Tamandua tetradactyla: one gene and its partners. The protein of the gene in region 2 interacts with the protein of the main gene of each other region in a pairwise test. Links are inferred from orthologs where the notes say so. Each region holds a gene or a part of one and is shown on either strand. Other genes may lie near its edges.

Region 1 (7,686 bases), on a different chromosome or scaffold from region 2:
ATAAATAGTTTTTATAAATATATATAGTTTTAATAATAGTTTTGTCTCTGACATGCCAGTAAAACTGGAAGAGTATTAGAGTTTGTAACTCCTTACCTCTGTAAAAATACCATACCGACCTTATAGTCTTAAAATAACATAAAAAAGGCTCTCTCTACCACAGTGCCTATCAAATAGAAGGCACTACGAAGTTTAGTTTCCTCTGAAAGTCTAGTTTGACAAACAGGTAATTAAATCGCTGTAGGGGAAAAGCTTAATGTTCATCTTTAATAGCACCAAGTTATTTGAGGACTTTTCCACTAGAGGGCAACAGTTAAGTCTTAACAGCCTTTACCAGGTATTTTTTGAGAATGCATGAACAAGAGGATTTCTGTTTTTTTGCTGGAAGATCCTCATTATTAAAAACCAGATCAGGGTCCAAATAAAGAGAAGTCCAGATAAAACCACTATTCAGTGTGTTCCTTGAGTGTTTGAGGGGCCTGGTGATAAAAAAGGGCAACCCAAATGCAAACTGATATCTTTCATGGTCCTTCATACATCATTGGGGAAGGAGCAAAAAGGCAGAGGGTTCTGAGCTGCCATTTTTTTCATTCACAGGCTACTTAGTCTGCCCACCCCTGTGCAAAGGCAGATCCTTCTTGTTACATGAGCAAATTCTACATCTTCCTTCATAAGGAGACCAGGAATTTCATGTTGCACATTAATGCTGAGTTGACTAGACTGTCTAAATTCATTCATAGATAGCTTGCATATAAGAGTAATACATGCACTTTAGAAAGTACAGGAAAAAGGAAGAAACGCCAATCTCATTGGGTGAGAAAACCTATGCATTCTTACGAATTTACTTTTAGAAATTTTTACTTTTAGAATGTGGAATCTTGTTCAAAGGATATGGGTGTATTTATGATTTGGTTCATACTTCCAAATTTCTCCTTCCAAAAATGGAAGTTTCCATCAGAAGTATAGGAGATTAACCTTATTTTCACACTTTCGAAGCTGGACAAAAATCTCATGCTTCATCTTAGTTGATTTGGAAAAGTAAAAAATGGTAACCCAATTTGCATATTGTGAAATTTTAATAGTGTCTTTTGAAGAGCAGAGGTTCTTGATTTTTCATAAAGTCAAATTTGTTCATTTTATGCATTATGCTTTTTTGGGTCATATATAAGAAATCTTTGCCTAGTCCAAGGTCACAATGCTTTGCTATTTTATTTTAGAGTTTAATAGTTTCAATTTTTGCCTATGACTCATTTTGAGTTGATTTTTATATATGGTATAAGGTATGGATAGATGTGGGTTGTTATGCAAATGGAGATCCAATTGTTTTAGCATCATTTGTTGAAAAGACTATCCAGTCTATATATGCCTTAAAGTCAGATACTTAGAGTAAATCAACTCTTTCATTCTTCAAAATTTTGTTGTTCTAGTTTCTCTGCTTTACCATGTACATTGTATAATCAATCAGGTTGTTTCAAAATAAATTCACTTGGATTTTAGTGATAATTGCATTGAATCCATAGACCAGTTCGGGGAGAATCATCATCTTAACATTTCTCTTCCAATTAATGAATACAGCATATTGCTCCAATTATATAATTCTTTGGCTTCTGTCTTCAGTATTTTGTAGTTTTTAGCAACAAGAATACCTTCAATGAATACTCTATCATGTTAAAAAAATATCTACCTCGCCCTATTTTTTTCTTCTTAATCAAATGCGTTTGGTAATTGAGTTTACTTTTCGTTTTCAACTATTAAAGAAATGAATTAATATTGGATTTTTACTTCTGTATACTAATTCAGATTGATTTTTAATATTTGTGTGTAGCTATTTTTGTCAGAATTATTCCAGCTTTCTAAAATGAAAGATACTGTCTTTTCATGCCTTTAAACACCTTGCTTCTCTAGACCCCATAGTGAAAACTATTTTCAGGACATTAAAATGGAAAGCCTGATATACAATAACAGTACTAGTTCCAACATATTTACATTATCAGTAAATGTAAATTTGTTAAACTACCCTATTAAAAGAATTTTGGGTTGGATCCTAAAGCGAAAGCTACATTTTGCTGTAATCAAGTGACTCAGGTTGAAAATTAAAAGAATGGGTGCATCAGGTCAATGCAACTAAAGAATAAAAATTTAAAAAACAAGGCTCATGATCACAATATCAGACAAGGTTGAACTGAGGACAAAATACCACTTCATGATGATAAAGAATTATGAACAAATGTATCAAATAATGAAGCATCAAATATAACTAAAGAAGATAAAAGAATAAACAGAAACACAGTAAGAGTAGGGGTTATTAACTGATCTCTTGGAATCCCATCACAGAGAGAAAAAAGTAACTATGAAAAAATGGCATTACTATTAAAGTAGTTCCAGTAGATACATCAAACCTGATACCCTGAACACAGAAACTACATGTTTTTTTCAAGTACTCATGGAATATTCCCTGAAAAGAACCATATGTTAGGCTTCAAAGAAAACTTAAAAAAAATTCCCCAAGCTAGAAATGATATAAAGACACATTCTGATCAGGCAAAAGTTCTTAGACTTAAAAATTCAAATTAATAAAAGAATTATATAAGCATCAAACCTAAGAAATTAGGAAAATTAAGGAATGACTGCTAATTGGTACTGGGTTTCTTTCTTTTGGGGATGATAAAATGTCCCAAAATAAGTTCTGCTAATTTTGCAAAACTGTGAATAATACACAAAACATTACATTTTAAACTTTAAATACATTCATTGTACAGTATAATATGAATTATATGTCAATTAAGCTGTTTTAAAAAAGGATTAAGAATAGTACAACCAGGAAGCAGGGATCAGAAAACAAACAAAGGGCAGAACCGAAAATTACAGGACATTTTTACTTTAGAATTATAAAACAGATAAACTATTTGCTAACATAATCAAGAAAAAATAAAGGATAAATAACCCAAAGTAAGAAATAAATCTAAGATCGTAGAAAAAGGGAACTAACACTCCCAACATGTTTTCATAGAAGAACTGCACTTTATCTTTAAAGAAAAGTGATTTTCAATTTAAGCTACTCAAGATCATAGAAGAGGAATTTCAAATTACTTTTTTACAAGATGAGCATAAGAGTATAACAAAGCTCAAAACAGTTTAAGAAATGTCAATTACCTAAAAGAAATCAGAATAAGAAGGGAGATCATGACCCTGAATGGGAAGACAATGTTGTAATTGTGTCAATCACTCATTCCCCCCAATTAGTGTATTAATTGAACACATTTCTGATCAAAATCTTAAAAGAACTTGCAATAGGACATAAAATCAATTATTCAAAAAAAACTTTCAGCGTAAAGTATTTCAAATATATTAAAAAGTTGGAAGAATAGTTTAGTGTACCCGTCACCTACCTTCAATAACTACCAATCAATTTTAAAATTCATCTGAGGAGTAATTAAGTTAAAATAGTTATTAAATATTTTTAAAAGACAAACGAGAAGAAATTTTCTCTAACAGTTATTTAATAGAGTTATTGTAAAGGGCCCTGAAAAGGACCCACGTTATTGTGGGAATTTAGAACATTGCAAAGGGGCAATTTTAAATCAGTGTGGAATGTTTGGCTTCAAAATGTACCAATATTGTAGGGTCAGCTGACTATTCGACTGGGAAAGAACAAAGCTAATTCACAAAATATCAAAATTAAATTTCACATGGATTAAATGTAAAATGTAAAAATTACATCTATTAAGGATTAGAAGACATTATGGGGGAATATATTCATAATCGCAGAGTGAAGGTCTTCCTAAACAATATGACTGATAGATTTGATAATATGAAGTTTTACATTTCTTCAAAGTGAAACAAAGTTAAAAGACAAGAGAGACTGAGAGAAAACGTATACCACACATAAATCAGACCATGGAAACTGGAAGAAGACATGGAAATATAAAGAAGGTGGAGTATTTAGGAACATAAATGGTTTAGTGTCACACAGCTTCCTATGAAGTAGATCGCAGAGATAAATTAGATGACGGGATTGGGGGTAATTATTTTCTTCCCATGTTTTCCCTGAATCTTTCCCATTGCTTACAATGGTCGTGTATTATTAAAATTTAAAAAGTCATTAAATTTAAAACTAGAAAAAATTTAAATTTATAATTAAAATTTAAAAAGTTATTAAAACGACAACTAACAAAGTCTGGGCTGTCTCATATTGTTCCCTGTTTGCGGTCTTAATGTTCCGCAGATTTATCTTAATATATGCTAGGAGTCCCTGAGTTTTTTGCTTCCTTTGTGTCATCACGAAACCTACGAGAGAACTGAGAGTCTGTAACAGATACGGAAAAATAAATGTTCACAGACTGGATAAAACAACGTTGATTCTGCAGGTGCGGGAGATTTGAGCGCTCACACAGTAGCACCTTACACTTCCTCATTATATACTTCTCCCTATCCTCTATCCCAGTGCCATCTGTATAACTCATTCCATCCAGTCGGTGCGAATTACGTGCAAGAATTCACTCCTGGCACGGACGTCATCCTGACTCTCGCGTCTCCACGTCTGTGCCTCGCACGGGAACGCCCAGGTCCCGCCCCGTCGTTTGTTGTGTTGTTATCACGTGGCCTAGGCGGGCTCTGACGTCAGCGCAGGGGCGGGTCTGCGCAAGCGCAGAAAAGGGGGCGGGGGACTCAGCTTGTTGTGTTGCTGCCGGAGAACCAGAGACGGTCCTGCTGCGACCGCAGCTCTCACAGGCGTTGGACGATGTCGTCTCATTTAGTTGAGCAGCCGCCGCCTCTGCATAATAACAACAACAACTGCGATGAAGGTGAACAGCCTTTGCCACCGCCAGCCGGCCTCAACAGTGAGTGCTGGGCGGGTGGGATTGGTGAAGGGTATGGGGGAGGAGGAGCTGGTCGGGCCGCCACCACAAGCTTAACGCGGGGGGCGAGGGAGGTGCGTGCGGGAAGAGAAGGCAGCCTATTGGTCAAGGCGGTGGATGTTGGTGTGACTGACAGCTCCCATCCCCTGTCAGGAAGACTTGCTCTTGTCTTCCTCTTCGCCATTCTCTCCTCTTTTCTTAGATCTTGGGTTGGGGCTGTTTCGGTTCGGTGTTAGGGTTGTGCGAGTGGGAAGGAAGAGAAGGGGTCCGAGTTCCGAGCCGGTAGCTGGAAGAGAAGATTCCGCCCGGGGTGGGGCCGCAGAAGCGGGGCCAATGGAGGCCTGGAGGGGGCGGGGCGCGGGGCGCGGGGCGGAAAGGCGGGGCGGGGACGGTGGGCGGAGCGGGCGGCTGCGGGGCCGTAGGGAGACCTGGGACGTGCAGCGGGGCCGCGGGGGGATGGACGGGTGGGAGGGCAGGACGACGGGGGCTGGGGAGCCGAGGGAGCTGTGGTAGCTCAGGTGTGCAGTGGGCCTCGAGCCTTTGCATCAGCTGAATTAAAGTCGCCGAATTGGGCTTTCCCCAAGGTTCGGCACGAGAGATCGCTTGTTGCGTTCTTTTGTTACCACAGTGAGGAACATCCATTTGGTAATTTAGTGGTTACCTGAATCTTGTGTGGGTGTGAGGAGGCTAAGTTACTTTTTTCTTTTCTTTTTCTTCTTTTTTTTTGAGTTCTCTCAAAGTTGCTTAAGCGATTTTTTTAAACATTTGTTCCCCCTATTATTTTTTATTTTTAATCCATATGTTTTACTCGTCTGTCGATAAGATAGATAAAAGGAGCATCAGACACAAGGTTTTTCACAATCACACAGTCACATTGTGAAATCTACATCATTATACAATCACAGCTCTACATTTTCAGGCAGTTCCTTCCAGCCTCTCCGTTACACCTTAACTAAAAAGGTGATGTCTATAAAATGCGTAAGAATAACCTCCAGGATCACCTCTTGAGTCTGTTTGAAGTCTCTCAGCCACTGACACTTTATTTTGTCTCATTCCCCTCTTCCCCCGTTCCGTGGAGAAGGTTTTCTCAGTCCCTTGATCAAGCTAAGTCCCAGCTCATTCTAGGATTTCTGTCCCTCGTTGCCAGGAAGGTCCACACCCCTGGGAGTCATGTCCCACGTAGACAGGGGGAGAGTGGTGAGTTTGCTTGTTGTGTTGGCTGAGAGAGAGAGGCCACATCTGAGCAACAAAGGAGGTTCTCTTGGGAATGACTCTTGGGCCTAATTTTTTTTTATTGATAAAAAAAAAAATTTATTTATAAAAAAATTTAACAGACCAAATAAAACGTTAACATATCTATAATCAGTAATTCACAATATCATCACTTAGTTGCATATTCATCATTTCTTAGAACATTTGCATCAATTCAGAAAAAGAAACAAAAAGACAATAGAAAAAGAAATAAAACAAAAACAGAAAAGAAAAAAAAAAGATTTTACCTACCATACCCCTTACTCCTCACTTTCATTGATCACTAGCATTTCAAACTAAATTTATTTTAGCATTTGTTCCCCTATTATTTATTTTTATTCCATATGTTCTACTTGTTTGTTGACAAGGTAGATAAAAGGAGCATCAAACACAAGGTTTTCACAATCACACAGTCACATTGTGGAAGCTATATCATTATTCAGTCATCATCAAGAAAAGTGGCTACTGGAACATAGCTCTGCATTTTCAGGCGGTTCCCTCCAGCCTCTCCATTACATCTTGGTTAACAAGGTGATAACTACCTAATGCATAAGAATAACCTCCAGGATAAGCTCTCAACTCTGTTTGGAATCTCTCAGCCATTGATACTTTGTCTCATTTCCCTCTTCCCTCTTTTGGTGGAGAAGGTTTTCCCAATCCCTGGATGCTGAGTCTTAGCTCATTCTAAGATTTCTGTCCCATGTTGCCAGGAAGGTCCACACCCCTGGGAGTCAAGTCCCAGGTAGACAGGGGGAGCATGGTGAGTTTGCTTGCTGTGTTGGCTGGAGAGAGAGGCCACATCTGAGCAACAAAAGAGGCTCTCTTGGGGGTGACTCTTAGGCCTAAATTTTAAGTAGTCTTGACCTATCCTTTGTGGGGTTAAGTTTCATCTGAACAAACCCCAAGACTGGGGGCTCAGCCTTTTGCTTTGATTGTCCCCACTGCTTGTGAGAATATCAGGAATTCTCTACTTGAGGAAGTTGAATTTTCCCCTTTTCTTGTCATTCCCCCAAGGGGACTTTGCAAATACTTTTCTGTTCACTGTTCAAATCACTCTGGGATTTATTGGGGCATCACTCTGGACAAACCTACAAAATCTCATGCCCTACTCAAGGTTCCATCTATTTATGGTGTTCAGTTAATCTCTCCACAGAAGTTATATTAGGAAATGCAGTAGTCAAAATATAAATTTTGTACCAAATAAACATTTTTTAAGAGATTTTTTGAAACGACGGGATTGTGTGCCAGTAAACCTGTCTATACAGAGTGTCTTTTTGGAAAAAAAAATTTTATTGAGATATATTCGTGCATCGGTCCACCAAACTATGCAATCATTGGTTCACGGTATCTTCACATTTGTGTATTCGTCATCATGATCATGTTTAGAACATTTGTATCACTCCAGAAAAAGAAATAAAAAGACAAAAGAAAAAAAAAATACATCCCATACCCCTTACCCTCCCTCTCATAGTATTGCAATCTACCCATTTTTTTTTTTTACCCCTTATCCCCCCCATTATTTATTTATTTTTTGTCCTTATATATTAACTTATCCATCCATACCCTGAATAAAGGG
Region 2 (7,988 bases):
TGGAAATGACATATCAGATAAAGGTCTAGTATCCAGAATTCATAAAGAGATTGTTCATCTCAACAACAAAAAGACAGCCAACCCAATTACAAAATGGGAAAAAGACTTGAATAGACACCTCTCAGAAGAGGAAATACAAATGGCCAAAAGGCACATGAAGAGATGCTCAATGTCTCTGGCCATTAGAGAAATGCAAATCAAAACCACAATGAGATAACATCTCACACCCACCAGAATGGCCATTATCAACAAAACAGAAAATGACAAGTGCTGGAGAGGATGCGGAGAAAGAGGCACACTTATCCACTGTTGGTGGGAATGTCAAATGGTGCAACCACTGTGGAAGGCAGTTTGGCGGTTCCTCAAAAAGCTGAATATAGAATTGCCATACGACCCAGCAATACCATTGCTGGGAATCTACTCAAAGGACTTAAGGGCAAAGACACAAGCAGACATCTGCACACCAATGTTTATAGCAGCGTTATTTACAATTGCAAAGAGATGGAAACAGCCAAAATGTCCATCAACAGACGAGTGGCTAAAAAAACTGTGGTATATACATATGATGGAATATTATGCAGCTTTAAGACAGGATAAACTTATGAAGCGTGTAATAACATGGATGGACCTAGAGAACATTATGCTGAGTGAGTCTAGCCAAAAACTAAAAGACAAATACTGTATGGTCCCACTGATGTGAACCGACATTCAAGAATAAACTTGGAATATGTCATTGGTAACAGAGTCCAGCAGGAGTTAGAAACAGGGTAAGATAATGGGTAATTGGCACTGAAGGGATACAGACTGTGCAACAGGACTAGATACAAAAACTCAAAAATGGACAGCACAATAATACCTAATTGTAAAGTAATCATGTTAAAACACTGAATGAAGCTGCATCTGAGCTATAGGTTTTTGGTTTTTTTTTTTTTTACTATTATTACTTTTATTTTTTTTCTCTATATTAACATTCTATATCTTTTTCTGTTGTGTTGCTAGTTCTTCTAAACCGATGCAAATGTACTAAGAAACGATGATCATGCGTCTATGTGATGATGTTAAGAATTACTGATTGCATATGTAGAATGGTATGATTTCTAAATGTTGGGTTAATTTCTTTTTTTCCGTTAATTAATAAAAAAATAAAATAAAAAAATTAGAGGAAATAAGCTTTCTTCAATCAGTCATGAGTAAATGGATGTATAAAAAATAATTTTATTGAAATCACTGACAAATTTGGAGATGATTGGGTCTAAAACAGAAATTATAATGTTGCTATTTATTGTTGTGGCAAATCAATATATGGTTACAAGTACTTTTGCTCTTTTCAAAAATATATAAATATAATTCAAAAGGTTTTACTCATGTAATTGAAAGTATTTTGTGTGGTAAAATCTATTTTAATAGTATTGTATCTATTGCATGTTCTTGTTTATTTTTGTTGTCATATTTTTTATATAAAGCTCAATAAGAATACTTTTCATTGTCTACATTTGTTTTCTGGCCATTTTTATTTATTCCATTTTCGTAATTATTACTGAAAATCATTTTGCTATCTAGAGGAGAGGGCAGTAAAAAAGAAATGATCTGCTTTAGGTTTAAATGAAAAGAAATTCAGTGACTGGTGAAGACACAGAGTTACAAGCACCTAAAAACAAGAAAATTCCACACATGTACCATTTCTACTTGAGAAACATGGGAAGATTCAAATACAAGGCCCATTTGAGTGTGGTTTCTATCTATATAGATATATATAGATATGTACACATACATACACACACATACATTTTCTCTCATATTATAAATGAAAGAAAAGGGGAACAAGGCAGGAGGAATCTTCAAGAGTATGTATAGAATGTGAAAAAAGTAGCAAACTGAAATTACTGAAATAGTAGGGAGGCAGGAGAGTAAATAGATCTAGGAAAGAAGAGTTGAAATAAGATAAGATGGTGAAGGGTACATTTTTCACTATGGAAGATTGATTGATTTTTTAATAGAGATATTTTGATTTAATTGTATTTTTTAAGGCATTCTAAGAAAGGGTTCTATGACAATTAGTTTACTTGTAATAAGCAAATACATCAATTTTGTGGTCTGCACCAACCAAAGGATATTAAAGTAATTTTTATTTGTCTTTTTCTGCCAAGTATAATGTGAACCCAACTGAAATGGGCTTAGGTCCTCATATTTCTTTGTACCCAAGCTTCTGAGAATGTTGTAAATATTCAGCAGCTATTTAATTGCTTAAAGGATGGATGGAGGCAGGAATTGAGAGATGAAGAAATGAAGAAAGGAAGGAATGAGACCCACATGTGAGAATTCAAATTGGAGGTGAAATTTGATTATTTGTTGGAAATTTGTGAGCATGAGCAGGGAAGGTACTTATGTTGCTATTTCCTGAGGACGTACTTGTTTTTTTTCTGCAATGGTTCTTACATGAATGCTTAGTTTATTTTCTTTCAATGTTTTTGTTTTCCACCTAATCCATTTACCCATTTATTTCTGTTTTTTTCTATTTTTATAAGTATAAAATTTCAAAAAATTACATTGGACTGACATACTTCAGACTCTTGTCTCGTGCATTTTCCTGACATGCTACTCATTCTAGTAAACCTACAAAATAGACTTTTATTTACTTTGACATTAGTTTTGAGACTCAGTTCTGGGAGGAGCTTGACATACATAAAAATGAGTGAGTGACCAGGAAGACTCTGGATGCAGTTGCTTCAGTTCTTTCATTTATGTGATATTCAATTAGATTCTTCATTCAGTTAATTAAATTTTAAATCTATAAAATGAGTTTTCCACTTCAAAGAACTCACTTTTCTTCTCCGCTGCCTCATTTTTCTTGGAAGATCACTCTTGCATAATGAATACAATGTTTCATCATATCTCCTCATGAAGATGGATTGGATCATTGTCCCTTGCCTATTTGGTTTTAGGTTAGGTTTGTTTGTGTCTCTCCTCTTTCTTATATTCACGTTTATCCAGGTATATATTTTTGTAATGCTCAGACTGTCTCCTTTCACCTCCTCCTTGCGGTGCTGAGCGTCCCTCACCCCCACCCCAGGTTGTCAATTTAGTTGTCAGCCTTGTGGTTGTAATAAATACATGTTCACTTATTTTGGTCCCAGATAAAAGAAAACTAAAGTTTCTGTTTATTGAACATTTTCTTTGGCACCTTAACCAATTATTTTGTTGGATTGTGATCAAATGGAAGACAGTCATTGTGCCGGTTTGAAGCTATTATATACCCCAGAAAAGCAATGTCCTTTAATCCTCATTCAGTATTGCTGGACAGGATCTTTTTTATTATTTCCATGGAGATGTGACCCACCCAATGGTGGGTGGTGACTTTTGATTAAATGGCTTCCATGGAATTGTGTCTCTATCCACTCAAGGTGGGATTCCTTACTGGAGCCCTTCAGGAGGGAAACATTTTTGAAAAAGGTTAAGAGCCCACACAGCCAAAGATCTTTATAGATGCAGAAGGAGAATGCCCCTGTGGAAGCCTTATGAAATGAAAAGAGAAAGCTAGCAGATGTCACCATGTGCCTTTCCAGCTGAGAGATGTGCTTTGGACCCACTGGCCTTTCTTGAATCAAAGTTTCTTTCCCTGATGCTTTAATTTTGATATTTTCATGGACTTAGAATTGTAAACTTTCAACTTAATGAATTTAAAAGCCATTCCGTTTCTGCATTCTGGCAGATTTGCAAACTAAAACAGTCATGGAGAACAAAAGTCTTGTCATCAGAAAGACTTCGGTTAAGAGCTTGAATTGACAGTATAAAGTCAACTTCGCCAGTTACTTCCAGGGAGATGCGTCCTTCATCATTGTTTTCTGGTTTTGTTTACTAGACTGACCCTTCTTCTTTGAGCCAAGTCAATCTCTCTGTGACAAATATTATGGTATTCCCTGCTTTCCAAGGACTGGATTATAGAACTGGAAGGTTAAAATTATTGAGATTAGATCTACACTACCACTTTGCAACGTATCTACAAATTATTAGTAGAACTTTTGTGGTACATTAAATAAGGAGGGGACAGCCATTTATTTACTCTCCAGTGAAGTCTCATCCATTTTGATACACCTTAGACAGATGTCTCCTGCATTCTGCTCCCTTCAAAGTTTGGTAAATGGATTGAACACCACTCTAGTTTCCAGCAGTGATAAGTGTTTTCCATATATCATTGATTTGGTCATGATTATGAAAATTCAAAGAAAGAACTCTCCATAAACTGTTAATTGCAACAGAAATGAACAGAATGGTGAAGGAGGCAGGGTAAGAAAACAGAAAAGAGCATGAGATTTGCAAGAAGAGTAAACCTTGGTTTATTCTTTACTCCATTTTTAAATTAGCTTTTTAAAGTTGAATAAGGACTGAATTTTCTATGTCACGCTGTCACCATTTGAATATAGGAATAATAATACCTGTGCGCATGGGCTTGCTGGAAAACCGATTAAATGAGAAAATGTGCAACATGCAGTACTAGCACATAATAATTGTTCAATAACTGATTACTACTTTGTATTACTATTCCCTGACAAATCCCAAAGATATTTAATTCCTCTCTCTGTTGTTGTAATAATGCATCTCTTACTATATCCCTCCCAAAACTGCCTGTGGATTTCCCCTATTAGGCAAAGAGCTCCTTCACAGGTATCATTTATTCTTTTATCCCCAACTCCTAGCAATTGAAAAGATGAATAATTAATAGGAGTTTACTGAATGAATGAATACAAAAATAAAAGAATGTTTAAGTATGATGAAGCAATACTGAATTCAAAGAATCAAAATTGCTTAATAGTTTACATATGGCTAAGTCATTAGTGATGTAAAATTCAGTTGTAGAGTCGTGAGAACAGCATCAGACACCCATCTATATATTCTTATTTATTTGGTTTGAAACAAAGAACTACCTACTATGCTGCTGTATACTTTTCTTAAAGTCAAAAGTCTCAAAAACAAGATCTAAAAGCACAAATGGGAAATTACAACAGCATAGTTTTCATTTCCTGCTTTTGTGTATCTGGTTGGACTACTTAAATTCAACTTGTCCATCCCACATGATTTGACTCATAGATACTGTCTTGTGCATGGGCAGTTAAGTTGGAAGGAAAGAGGAAAGAGTTCCCAAATGCTGGGTCTGTTCAGGGATTCAATACAATAATGCAAAGCAATACTGGTTTTGAAAATTTGGATGAAGATGGATATACACAGTTAAATTTCACATCTCAAGGCATCACCAGGAGACCTTTGGTTTCAAAGAAAGGTAATTTTTGTTTTATGCTCTTAACACGGATTTTGTCATCATCTAAAAGTATGTAAGTGGTGAAAATTTGAGAGAATTGTCATTTGTCATATGTAGGGATTTTATTAACATATTTAAAGTTTAGCTTTCCAAAAGTCACTGAAGTGACTTTTGGTCACTTGAATGACCAAAGTAATTTGAATGTACACTAAAATTTTTATCATTGTAACCTAGATAATAGCATTTGGTAGCTAGTTATAGGTTTTTAAATTAATTATGATGATGGCAGTAATACTTCAGCAGTAAAAAACTAGTACTAAGTGAAATCATAGGTAAAGATGAAGGAATTCCTTTAAGAGTGGCTTGTAGCTTGTTTGCTAGAATGGTATAGTTTGTAGAAATATATATAATGTTGCAAATGAGCAATAACAACAGATAAGAAAGAGAAGAATGAAAAGATGAAAAATAGGTGAGGGATGAAACGAAGAGCAAAAGAACTTGTAATGTATGATTAAAGGCCACAGGCCTATCAGAAATCATAGGGTGTAGAATCCTCAATGATTTGTGTGATGAGAGGTTGATTTATGTGTATTTTTGTATCCCAAAAACTAAAGGAAGTTATTGGGATACAAATGATGAAAAATATATATGTTAAATGAAATGATCCCATTAGCAGGACATGGGTCTTAAACAAAATGTAAGTACTGAAATATGGAGTAGGGTAGTAAAAAGATTTGTTTCTTCATAGAATGAGTGATTTAGTTTCCTCTGTGAGTCTCCAACTTGGCAATTCTATGAAATGTTCTTATTACCTATTCTCAGTTAAAAACAGAAATGCATTCTTGAAGTGGTGAAGTTAGCACAATTTCGTTTCCTGTTATTATCAAGGGAGAGACTATTCCTAAGTTTTGACATGAGAAGTCTCTCTCTTCTGCTTTCTGCTGGTTCACATTGCACAACTATTTCCATCTCACCCTGCTTGTATAATTATTTTCTTGGGCAACCACTGGGCAGAGTGGAAAACTCGGTGAGGCAAGAGGTGGGGAGGTGTTTGTGTATTTATGCTTATGTGTGGACAAACACTGAGTACCAAAAATCTGCTGGTAGTCCCTAAACTAACTCCTTTATACAAGGGTTAGTACATTTAATCCCCACAAAAATCACTTGAGGTATTATTATTCAGCTTTCCACAAAGAAAAATAACAAATGATAGGGAGTAATTTGCCCATGGTCATGCAATAAATAAGTGAAAAAGAGATGCTTCATGTTTTGATTTTGCCACCCTCAGTAACCAGTACTCTTTCCCCTACATAAAGCTGTGTCCTCTGAGAAGGAATGGGATTTCAGGGTTCCTGGTAGTGACAAGGCTTAGAGGCATCAAATGTGAAACTGAAATTTAGAGTGCATAGACACCAAGGCTCTGTGCGCAAATTAGAGTTCCAGAAAGAAATTCAGACTAATCCTACATGTCTAGTTTATCTGGGCAGCAGTGACTCATGGTTTTCCTTAGAATTTGTCATATTTTGATGACCTGTAGAAGTAAGAGTGCCAGTGTTCTGGTTTGCTAAAGCTGACAAAATGCAATATATGAGAAATGGGTTGGCATTTAGTAATGGGGATTTATTAATTTACAATTTACTGTTCTTAGGCCATGAAAATGTCCAACTGAAGGCATCAACAGGACGATATCTGCATTCTAAAGAAAGACTGCCAGCATCTGGGATGCTTCTGTGTCCTGCTGGTCCTTCTCTCCTAAAATTCATTGCTTTTAACTTCAGGCTTCAGTGGCTTCCTCCATCAGCTTCTGTGGGTGTGTCTTTGTCGCTCAGATTTTGTGAGTCTTCTCTGAAACTCTAGGCTTTTTCTCTGTGTGTCCTTTAACCTTTAATAAAGGACTCCATTCAAAGTGCTAAGACCCACCTTGAATGAGGCAGATCACATCTCAATTGAAATAACCTACTCAAAAGTTTTCACCTACAACAGGTCTGTAACAACAGGAATGGATGAAAAGAACATGACCTTTTGTGGGGTACATAACACCTTCAAACCACCACAGCCATGATACTTCATCCTGCTTCTTCACTCAATGTCTGCTTCCTTTGTTTCTTTAGGAACTTGTGCCACATCTTGTTGGTGTCCCATTGCTGTGACCCTGGGACTCCTATTTCTGGTAATACTGGTGATTGCTGTGGTCCTGGGCACTATGGGTGAGTGTCTGTGGGAATGGTTAACAACAACAGCAAACATTTAATGAGCATTTATTATGTATCAGACACTTTTTAAAGAGCTTTTCTTACATAATCCCAGTTAATACTTACAATAACCTACTGAATTGGTGCTATTAATTTCCATTTTTCTTAGAGGTTAAAGACTTGGATGTTATTTTACATTTTCAGGGTCATAGGTTATTTAAAGGTGGACACACAAATTAAAATTTAGTCAATCTATCTAGAAAACTAATCTTTGTAACTATACTGGTCTTTTGCCTCCCTTGGATAAGTTGGTTTCAAATGTGTGGAATTCCCAGGGTAAATTTGTACAAGGAAACCACTGGAGTTCAACAACAATGTACAATATGGCACTATTTACATAATGACATAAATTCATTAATGGGATTAAAAGCTATTCTCACAAATTCTGTGATTTAAGGAAATTGTTTTGTAACTTATTTTAGTCTAAAGTCCTCTGAATGTACCAGGTATTTCCTACAGCACTTACAGAGTACTAAGCAGGT
Region 3 (7,270 bases), on a different chromosome or scaffold from region 2:
AAAACTCCAACCCCCACTCCCTAAAAGAAGACAGAAAACTCAACCAGATCTTGTGTTTCATTCTTTTCTGATCCAGTTCTGGGGCCTATGTTCCAGCTGTTCCACCCAAAAAATCCTTGATCCAGGGTGGGAAGAGTTTATACTGGCCTGTTCCCAACAGAGGACTCAAGGGCTGAAGATGGGACTTGAGGAGTGTGGGTGGCAGGGTGAAAATCAGAAACCAGGAATGGAGGCTGCCTGGCAAAAAAATGTATCATGAAGCTGGGAAGAGGCAAGATTCCCGTTCCCAGGTGTCCTGACATGGGCTCCAACTTCCTAAGAACATCCTGGACCCAAAGTCCTTTTAGACGTTCCAGTTCAACACAACTAGCCTTCCGGTGTCTCTCTACGCAAACTCCCAAAAATTAGAACCAGGAAAGACTTCAGAGCTTATCCAATGCAGATCTCTCCTTTTAAGAACGAGGAAACTGAGGCCCAAGGTCACACAACGAAAGAGTGTCAAAGCAAGGACCTAAACCTGGCTCTCTCTAGTTCAGGACTCTCCCCTGTTCATCCATTCACAAAGAATCCCCACCGGGTTCTTCCGGATTTTTCGCCATCTGTGACTCCACTCTCACCTCCCCAACCTCTCCAGCCCCCAATTCGCAGACTCTTATCCCAACTCCGCAAAGCTCGGCGCCCGACCCAAGCTGCCTGCGGAAAGTATTCCTCCACGTGCTTTCCTCCAGCTCTCCCACCCACCCAATTCCTTTTCAGCTCCTTTCCGGGTTACCGGGTCCCGCGCCTCACCTGCTCCCTCCAAAACTGCACGGTCCTCCCTCGCCCGCACCCTCCCCAGCCCGGCACCCGGGCCCCGCCCGCCTGGGAGGCCCCGCCCCCGCTGTCCCCCTCTTCCCTAGGTGGCTGCACTCACACCCCGGCCCCTCTCACCGGTAAAGCCGCTTAGTATGGAGGACCTTTGCTTCGGGCTCGCTGCTCTCCCCTGTGGGGGGGCCTTGGCTCATGGTGCCCGGGCCCGGGGGCAGCTCCCGGTCACAGGCCCCCACCACCCGCCGCTACCGCCACCGCTGCCGTCTCCGGCCGCAGCCGCCACCGCTGCCGGCCCTGCTCGGCCGCCATCGCTGTGAGGCGGCTGCCCGCGACAGCTCCTCCTCCGCCTGCCAAATCTCGCGATACAGCTGCACAGGTGCAGACCAGTGGCCGGCTGCTGCCAAATCTCGCGAAACTCATTTTCCCTCCCGGGAAGTTGCCAGAACTAACTCTGGGCATCATGGCCTCTTTCCGGCTACTCCAAGCCCTTGAGAAAAACTTTATTGACAAAGCTGCTAGACAGCGGACAGTGGACTCAGTGAGAGGGCTGAAGCTCAGCTGAGTTTGGGCAGGCAGGCAGCCTAGGAGCCTTGCTTTGTCTTGTCCTACTGTGTTCATTTGGTTTGGCTCATCTTTCTGCCCGTCCTTCCCATCCTTACCCCCCCCCCCCCCCCAATATGAGCCGAGCCTTGTTCAGAGTGCTGGTTAGAACGATTCCAATTCTCCATTTTCCCCATAATTTAAAAAAAAAAAAAAAGCGCACGTGAACATTTCCTCGGAAAGAATCGAGTACTACTTAGGAGCAAGACCCGAGAAAACATGACTTTTGTACAAGTGTCTCAATCCATCACCTCCCGCTCTCAAAGCTTTCTAGCTTGCACATGTATCTAGCACCAGTCCGGAAAACATTTATTGAACACCTGCTGTCATCCAGGCACTGTGCTGGGTTGTGCTGGGTTGTGGGGACGCTGAGATGAGCAAGCTGAACACTGTCCCTGCTCTCAAAGAGTTCCAGTGATTTTAGGGATAATGTCCCATGAAGATGAACAGTCATTCTCTAGTCTGCTCTCTAACGTTCTGGCCTCTGGTCCTCACATTGGAAAGATCACTTGGTATCTAACTAGGATTCCTATTGCTTTTTATTTTTTTGTATGCTGTATGGCCGGATAATATTTCATTATATTGCCATGTGAGTATCCGGTTGTTGCAGCACCATTTTTGTTGGAATTTTTGTTTGTTTTGCTTGTTGTTTGGTTGTTTGTTTTTGGGGATAGTGCATGATCCAGGAATCAAACCTGGGTCTCACGCATGGCCAGCAAGAATTCTACCACTAAACTACCATTGTACCCCCTCTTATTACTTTTTTAACCTTAAACCAGACCTAAACAGCAAGGTGTTTCTGTGATACCACAAGCACAGCTCTTTCCATAAAAGGGTCCACCTGACCCGGTGCTATAAAGGAGAAACAAACCTCTCGGTGTGAAGGTGATTTATTGCAAGTACACTTTGCAAGGAACTGGAGGAATCGTCCCCAAACCAGTTCAAAGTGGGGGTGTGAGTTAAGCGTTTTAATAGGTAAAGGAAGGATTATAAGGGGTCAAAAACTAGGTAATGGCCACTTGATTAATTCCTGTCAGGTCAGCAATGACACTGGATCTTCATGAGGAAGGCACCAGCAAATTTCTCAACCCTGTGTTGTCTCAAGCACATTTTGTTGTTTCAGCTTTGGTGATAAGATTTAGTTATTGACGTAGAAGCTCTTATGCTCATCACTTTTCTTAGCTGACCTTCAGATATGTCAAACTTTTTGTCACTGATTCACTGAGCTACTGGGTGTTCTTTTTTTTTTTTTCCAAGTTTTATTGATAAAACAACATACAAGCACATACATTTGTAACATACAAATATTCCATACGTGGTATACAATCAGTGGCTCACAGTGTCATCACATAGTTGTATATTCATCACCATGATAATTTTTTAGAACATTTGCATCACTCCAAAAGAAAGAAAAGACTCATGTATACCATACCCCTTACCCCTCCCTCTCATTCACCACTAGTTTTTCCATCTACCCAATATATATATTTTTTAACTTTAGTATTTGTTTCCCCTGTTTAGTTATTTTTAATCCATACATTTTATTCATCTGTCCATACCGTAGATAAAAGGAGCATCAGACACAAGGTTTTCACAATCACACAGTCACATTATGAAAGCTATATCATTATACAATCATCTTCAAGAAACATGGCTACTGGAACACAGCTCTACATTTTCAGGCACTTCCCTCTAGCCTCTCTAATATATCTTAAACTGAAAAGGGGATATCTATACAATGCATAAGAATAACCTGCAGGATAACCTCTCGACACTGACACTTTATTTTATCTCATTTCTCTCTTCCCCCTTTCCGTCAAGAAGATTTTCTCAATCCCATGATGCTGAGTCCCAGCTCACCCTAGGATTTCTATCCCACGTTACCAGGGATGTTTACACACCTAGGAGTCGTGTCCCGCATGTAGAGGGGAAAGCGGTGAGTTTGCTTGTCATGATGGCTGAGAGAGAGAGAGGCCACATCTGAGCAACAGAAGAGGTTCTCTTGGGGGTGACTCTTAGGCCTAATTTTAAGTAGGCTTAGCCTATCCTTTGCGGGGATAAGTTTCATAGGAACAAACTCCAAGATTGAGGGCTCAGTGATGCTATTCTGTTATTTTATCCCTGTAAGAAGAACGAAGAAGGTCTGGTTAATGTCCTTCTGGAACTAAGTACAAAGAGTATATTGCTAACCTCAGCTGGGGTAAGCATATTTTCCAGCAATCACCTGGACCCGTATACCTGTTATAATGGGAACATAAATTCCCCCTTCCACCTGATGCTCCTGCCACAATTCACCTGACCTTCTTTTTGTTCTTGAAACAGCTCAAATCTAAATCCTTCCCACCAGTTGCCTTTCACTTCTGTTCCTCTGCTCGGAATGCACATACTCCTGATTTCTCATCAGGTCTCAGCTTAAATGCCACCTTGTTAAAAACGTTTCCCTTACTGAATTTGTCTTATTTAGTTACTAAGCTTCTTCACTTTCTGCCACTCCAATAGAACATAAGTAAGTTCCTCAAGAGTAGGGGCCTTGCCTGTTAGCTTTTCTCATCTGTGCCAATACCTAGCTAATAATATGTGCTCGATAAATATTGATTGAATGAATGAATGTACGAATTCCACTTTTTTTCTGGATATCCCAACCTACTCCAAGCACCTTTAGGTGTACAGACCCACTCTCCCTGCTCTGTCTTCCTGGGCTGGCAGCTCCTACACATCCTCCACTTGCCTCCTACTTCCAGCAGCCCCACTTCCAGAAAGGCTTTTTCTGTCGGCAGATACAGCAGGGCGGGGCCTGCGCCTTTAATCTGGGCTCCACCTGCTCTGGTCGGACAGGTTTGGAGACACAGGTAGAGGGAGGGAGTCCGAGAGAAATACTTGCAGAACCAGCAGGGAGTTCGGCAGCTCCTTCCTGGAGGGCCGGGACGCCAGGGACCCGCTGCCTTCTCCAAATGGAAAGTAAGAGGGTCTCATGGGTCTGAATGGTTGAGGGTAGGCAGGCACTCCAGGACATGGAAGGAGAGGACTCAGTCTCATCCACAGGAGCAGAGAGATGGAGGGCAGCAGGCAGGGGAGGAAGGCAGGAGAGGAGGCATGGGAAACAGCCATGATTAAGCCTAGAAGTTGAGAATGGACAGACCAGGACTCTGCGGAGGTGGGCTAATGGGGAATTCAGCAACTGACCAAGTACCCAGATTGGGGGTGAGGGGGCAGGCCACCTGGGGACTGCCAGCCCCTTGGGACACATGTGTTGGCAAATCACAGGTACCACCTCCAGGAGAGTCCTACCTAAGCAGGGAGGTGGGGAGGTGGGAAGTTGGAGGGGCCGTTTCTCTGACCACAGGAAGATCTTTAGCGGGAAGGAAACGCTCGGCAATATTCTAGACACCTCCTCTTCCTCTCGTTCCTGGATGAGGGTGGCCATGACCCCAGGGGTTTTGGTGGAGGGGTAGAAGGCATGGGCGGGCCGGCTGAGGCCGCAGCTGCCAGGGCCTGTGCCCCCTGACTCACCCTCTCCTGCTGGATGGCACCTGATGTCGAAAGGTGCCTCCATTTCAGCTGCTCACTTCTTCCCTCCCTCCTCCCTCTGTTTCAACATCTCCCTCCACACCATGTTCTCCCTAAGGTCCCAAAAGAGACCAATGCCCATGAGATTGGCCTCTCTGGAGAGTTCCAGTTTCTGCCAACTGCTCGGAAGGGCCGGGGGCCTCTGACAGAGCTTCCCTCTGCTCCCTGCAGGGTGACACAAGCTCACGATACACCCCAGACCTGAGGCCCCAGGATGACAGAGCCCGAGACCCTGACCCTGCTGGAAGTGAAGGGACCTGAGGTCCTGGAGAAGAGCCCACCCCAGGCCCTGGTTCCCAATGGCCGGCAGCCAGAAGAGGAAGGTGAAGCCGAGTGCCCCAGAGCAGGCTCTCCAGCGGGGTGTCCCACGGCTGCGGAGGAGACTGAGGCTGGTCTGGGAAGCACGGTGAGCGAGGCTGCCACCCTGCCCTGGGGGACTGGCCCCCAGCCCAGTGCCCCATTCCCCGATCCCCCCGGCTGGCGGGACATGGGGCCAGAGCCCCTCGAGTTGGAGCCCCCCACCAAGCCCGAGGAACTCCCCGGAGACGATGACAACCTGCTGCCCACGAAGGCTGCGCGGGCCTTTGTGCCCATCGACCTCCAGTGCATCGAGCGGCGGCCCCCCGAGGAGCGCGCTGTGTGCCGGGAGACGGCCGAGGCCCAGCGCAGAGCCTTCCGGCCCGCCCGGGTCATCCACCCGGAGCCCCCCAAGTGCAAGTGGGCCGAGGCAGCAGTGAGGTCGCCCGGCCCCTCCTGCGGGGCCTGCAGGCGCTGCGGGGGCCGCGAGGGGCTGCGCGCCGTGGCCTCGGTGGGGGCCGCCCTCGTCCTCTTCCCCTGCCTCCTGTACGGGGCCTTCGCCTTCCTGCCCTTCGACGCCCCGCGGCTGCCCACCGTGAGCTCCCGCCTGGTCTACACGCTGCGCTGTGGGGTCTTTGCCACCTTCCCCATCGTGCTGGGTGAGTCCGGGCCCCGCAAGGAGAAAGGGCGCCAGACCCGGGGAGGGCAGGGCCTGCCGGCCGTGGGGAGTGGGAGCCCAGGCCCCTTGGCGCCCCCTGTCCCCCTGCTCCCCACCCCCTGTGTGCCCATCCCCTCCCAGGACCCCCAGCCCCACTGGGCACAGCCTAGGCCCTGTCCTTCTGCGAGGCCTGCCCCCCTCTGCCCTGGGCCCTGCCCCCTAGCCTCCTGCCTGTCCTGACCCCATGTGCCCCCCACCCCCACCCCCACCCCAGGGCTCCTGGTGTATGGGCTGAGCCTGCTGTGCTTTTCTGCCCTGCGGCCCTTCGGGGAGCCTCGGCGGGAGGTGGAGATTCATCGGCACTATGTGGCCCAGTCAGTCCAGCTCTTCATCCTCTACTTCTTCAACCTGGCCGTGCTCTCCACATACCTGCCCCAGGATGCCCTGAAGCTGCTGCCACTGCTCACTGGTCTCTTTGCCATCTCCCGGTGAGTTGGGGCTAGGGGCGGGGCCTGGGGGAGGCGATGGTGCCAGAGGGGCCGCAGGCATCCGACAGGCTAGAGGGCCAGGGACAGCGGGCGGCTTTTGGGATTCTGCAGCAGCTCAAATGTGCAACCTGGAGAGGTGAGTGCTTCCCCCCTTGCCCCTGACCTCACTTGGTTGTAGATGATCAGCCCATAGGCCTTCCCCCAGGAAACTGATTTCAGAGACACACACGCCAGCCTTGAAAGCAAAAGGGCCTTCAGGTGCCATCGCGGTCAAACTCCCACTCGTTGCAGCCACTCTTCCTCTGGGGCACTCTGGCCAGGTGGCCCTTGGCTGCTAGTTGTGCGGCCCCTGTGACGAGGTGCTCAGTTTGTTTTATTTTTTAAAGGTTAGAAAGGTTTTCTTTATATTGTGCTGAAAACTGCTACCTTGACTTTGATCTCTGGAACAAACTCAGACATTTGATATTGAAATGCCTCTCATTTCTCTCTATCCCAACACCCTGCTCCCCCATTTTCTTTATTTTGCTAAATGTCCCTGGTCCCTTCACTGTCCTGGGTCCTTCCCACTACGCAGAAAATTCTCTGGTTTGTCAATGGGGCCAGTCATATTACTCTCCTGTCATTCTGAGTTTGTAGTCCCTGATGTCCTGAGGGTTTTGTTTTTTTGTTTTTGTTTTTCTTTGTATGCCGTATGGTGGGGTCACATTTCATTATTTTTCCATGTGAGTATCCCATTACTGCAACACCATTTGTGGAATTTTTGTTTGCTTTGCTTGTTTTTTTGTTTTGCTTGTTTGTTTTTTGGGAAGGGCATGGACCAGGAATCGAACCCGGGTCTCCTGCATGGCAG

Evidence for each region.
Region 1: the proteins of CLEC7A (region 2) and BNIP3L interact in binary tests that used the Homo sapiens proteins (3 or more experiments, as listed by UniProt). The two-hybrid records come from large-scale screens. The link is inferred for Tamandua tetradactyla from reciprocal best matches to the Homo sapiens genes CLEC7A and BNIP3L.
Region 3: the proteins of CLEC7A (region 2) and TMEM79 interact in binary tests that used the Homo sapiens proteins (3 or more experiments, as listed by UniProt). The two-hybrid records come from large-scale screens. The link is inferred for Tamandua tetradactyla from reciprocal best matches to the Homo sapiens genes CLEC7A and TMEM79.

The regions. Positions count from the first base shown.
Region 1 is NC_135329.1:27,302,310-27,309,995, forward strand, and holds the start of BNIP3L (BCL2/adenovirus E1B 19 kDa protein-interacting protein 3-like), read left to right. Parts: upstream 1-4,635; 5' UTR 4,636-4,741; coding exon 4,742-4,841; intron 4,842-7,686.
Region 2 is NC_135333.1:72,542,385-72,550,372, reverse strand, and holds the start of CLEC7A (C-type lectin domain family 7 member A), read left to right. Parts: upstream 1-4,978; 5' UTR 4,979-5,172; coding exon 5,173-5,275; intron 5,276-7,365; coding exon 7,366-7,461; intron 7,462-7,988.
Region 3 is NC_135330.1:9,312,572-9,319,841, forward strand, and holds the start of TMEM79 (transmembrane protein 79), read left to right. Parts: upstream 1-4,249; 5' UTR 4,250-4,368; intron 4,369-5,148; 5' UTR 5,149-5,191; coding exon 5,192-5,933; intron 5,934-6,206; coding exon 6,207-6,420; intron 6,421-7,270. Other genes in the region: nonsense-mediated mRNA decay factor SMG5, read right to left, coding at 931-1,004.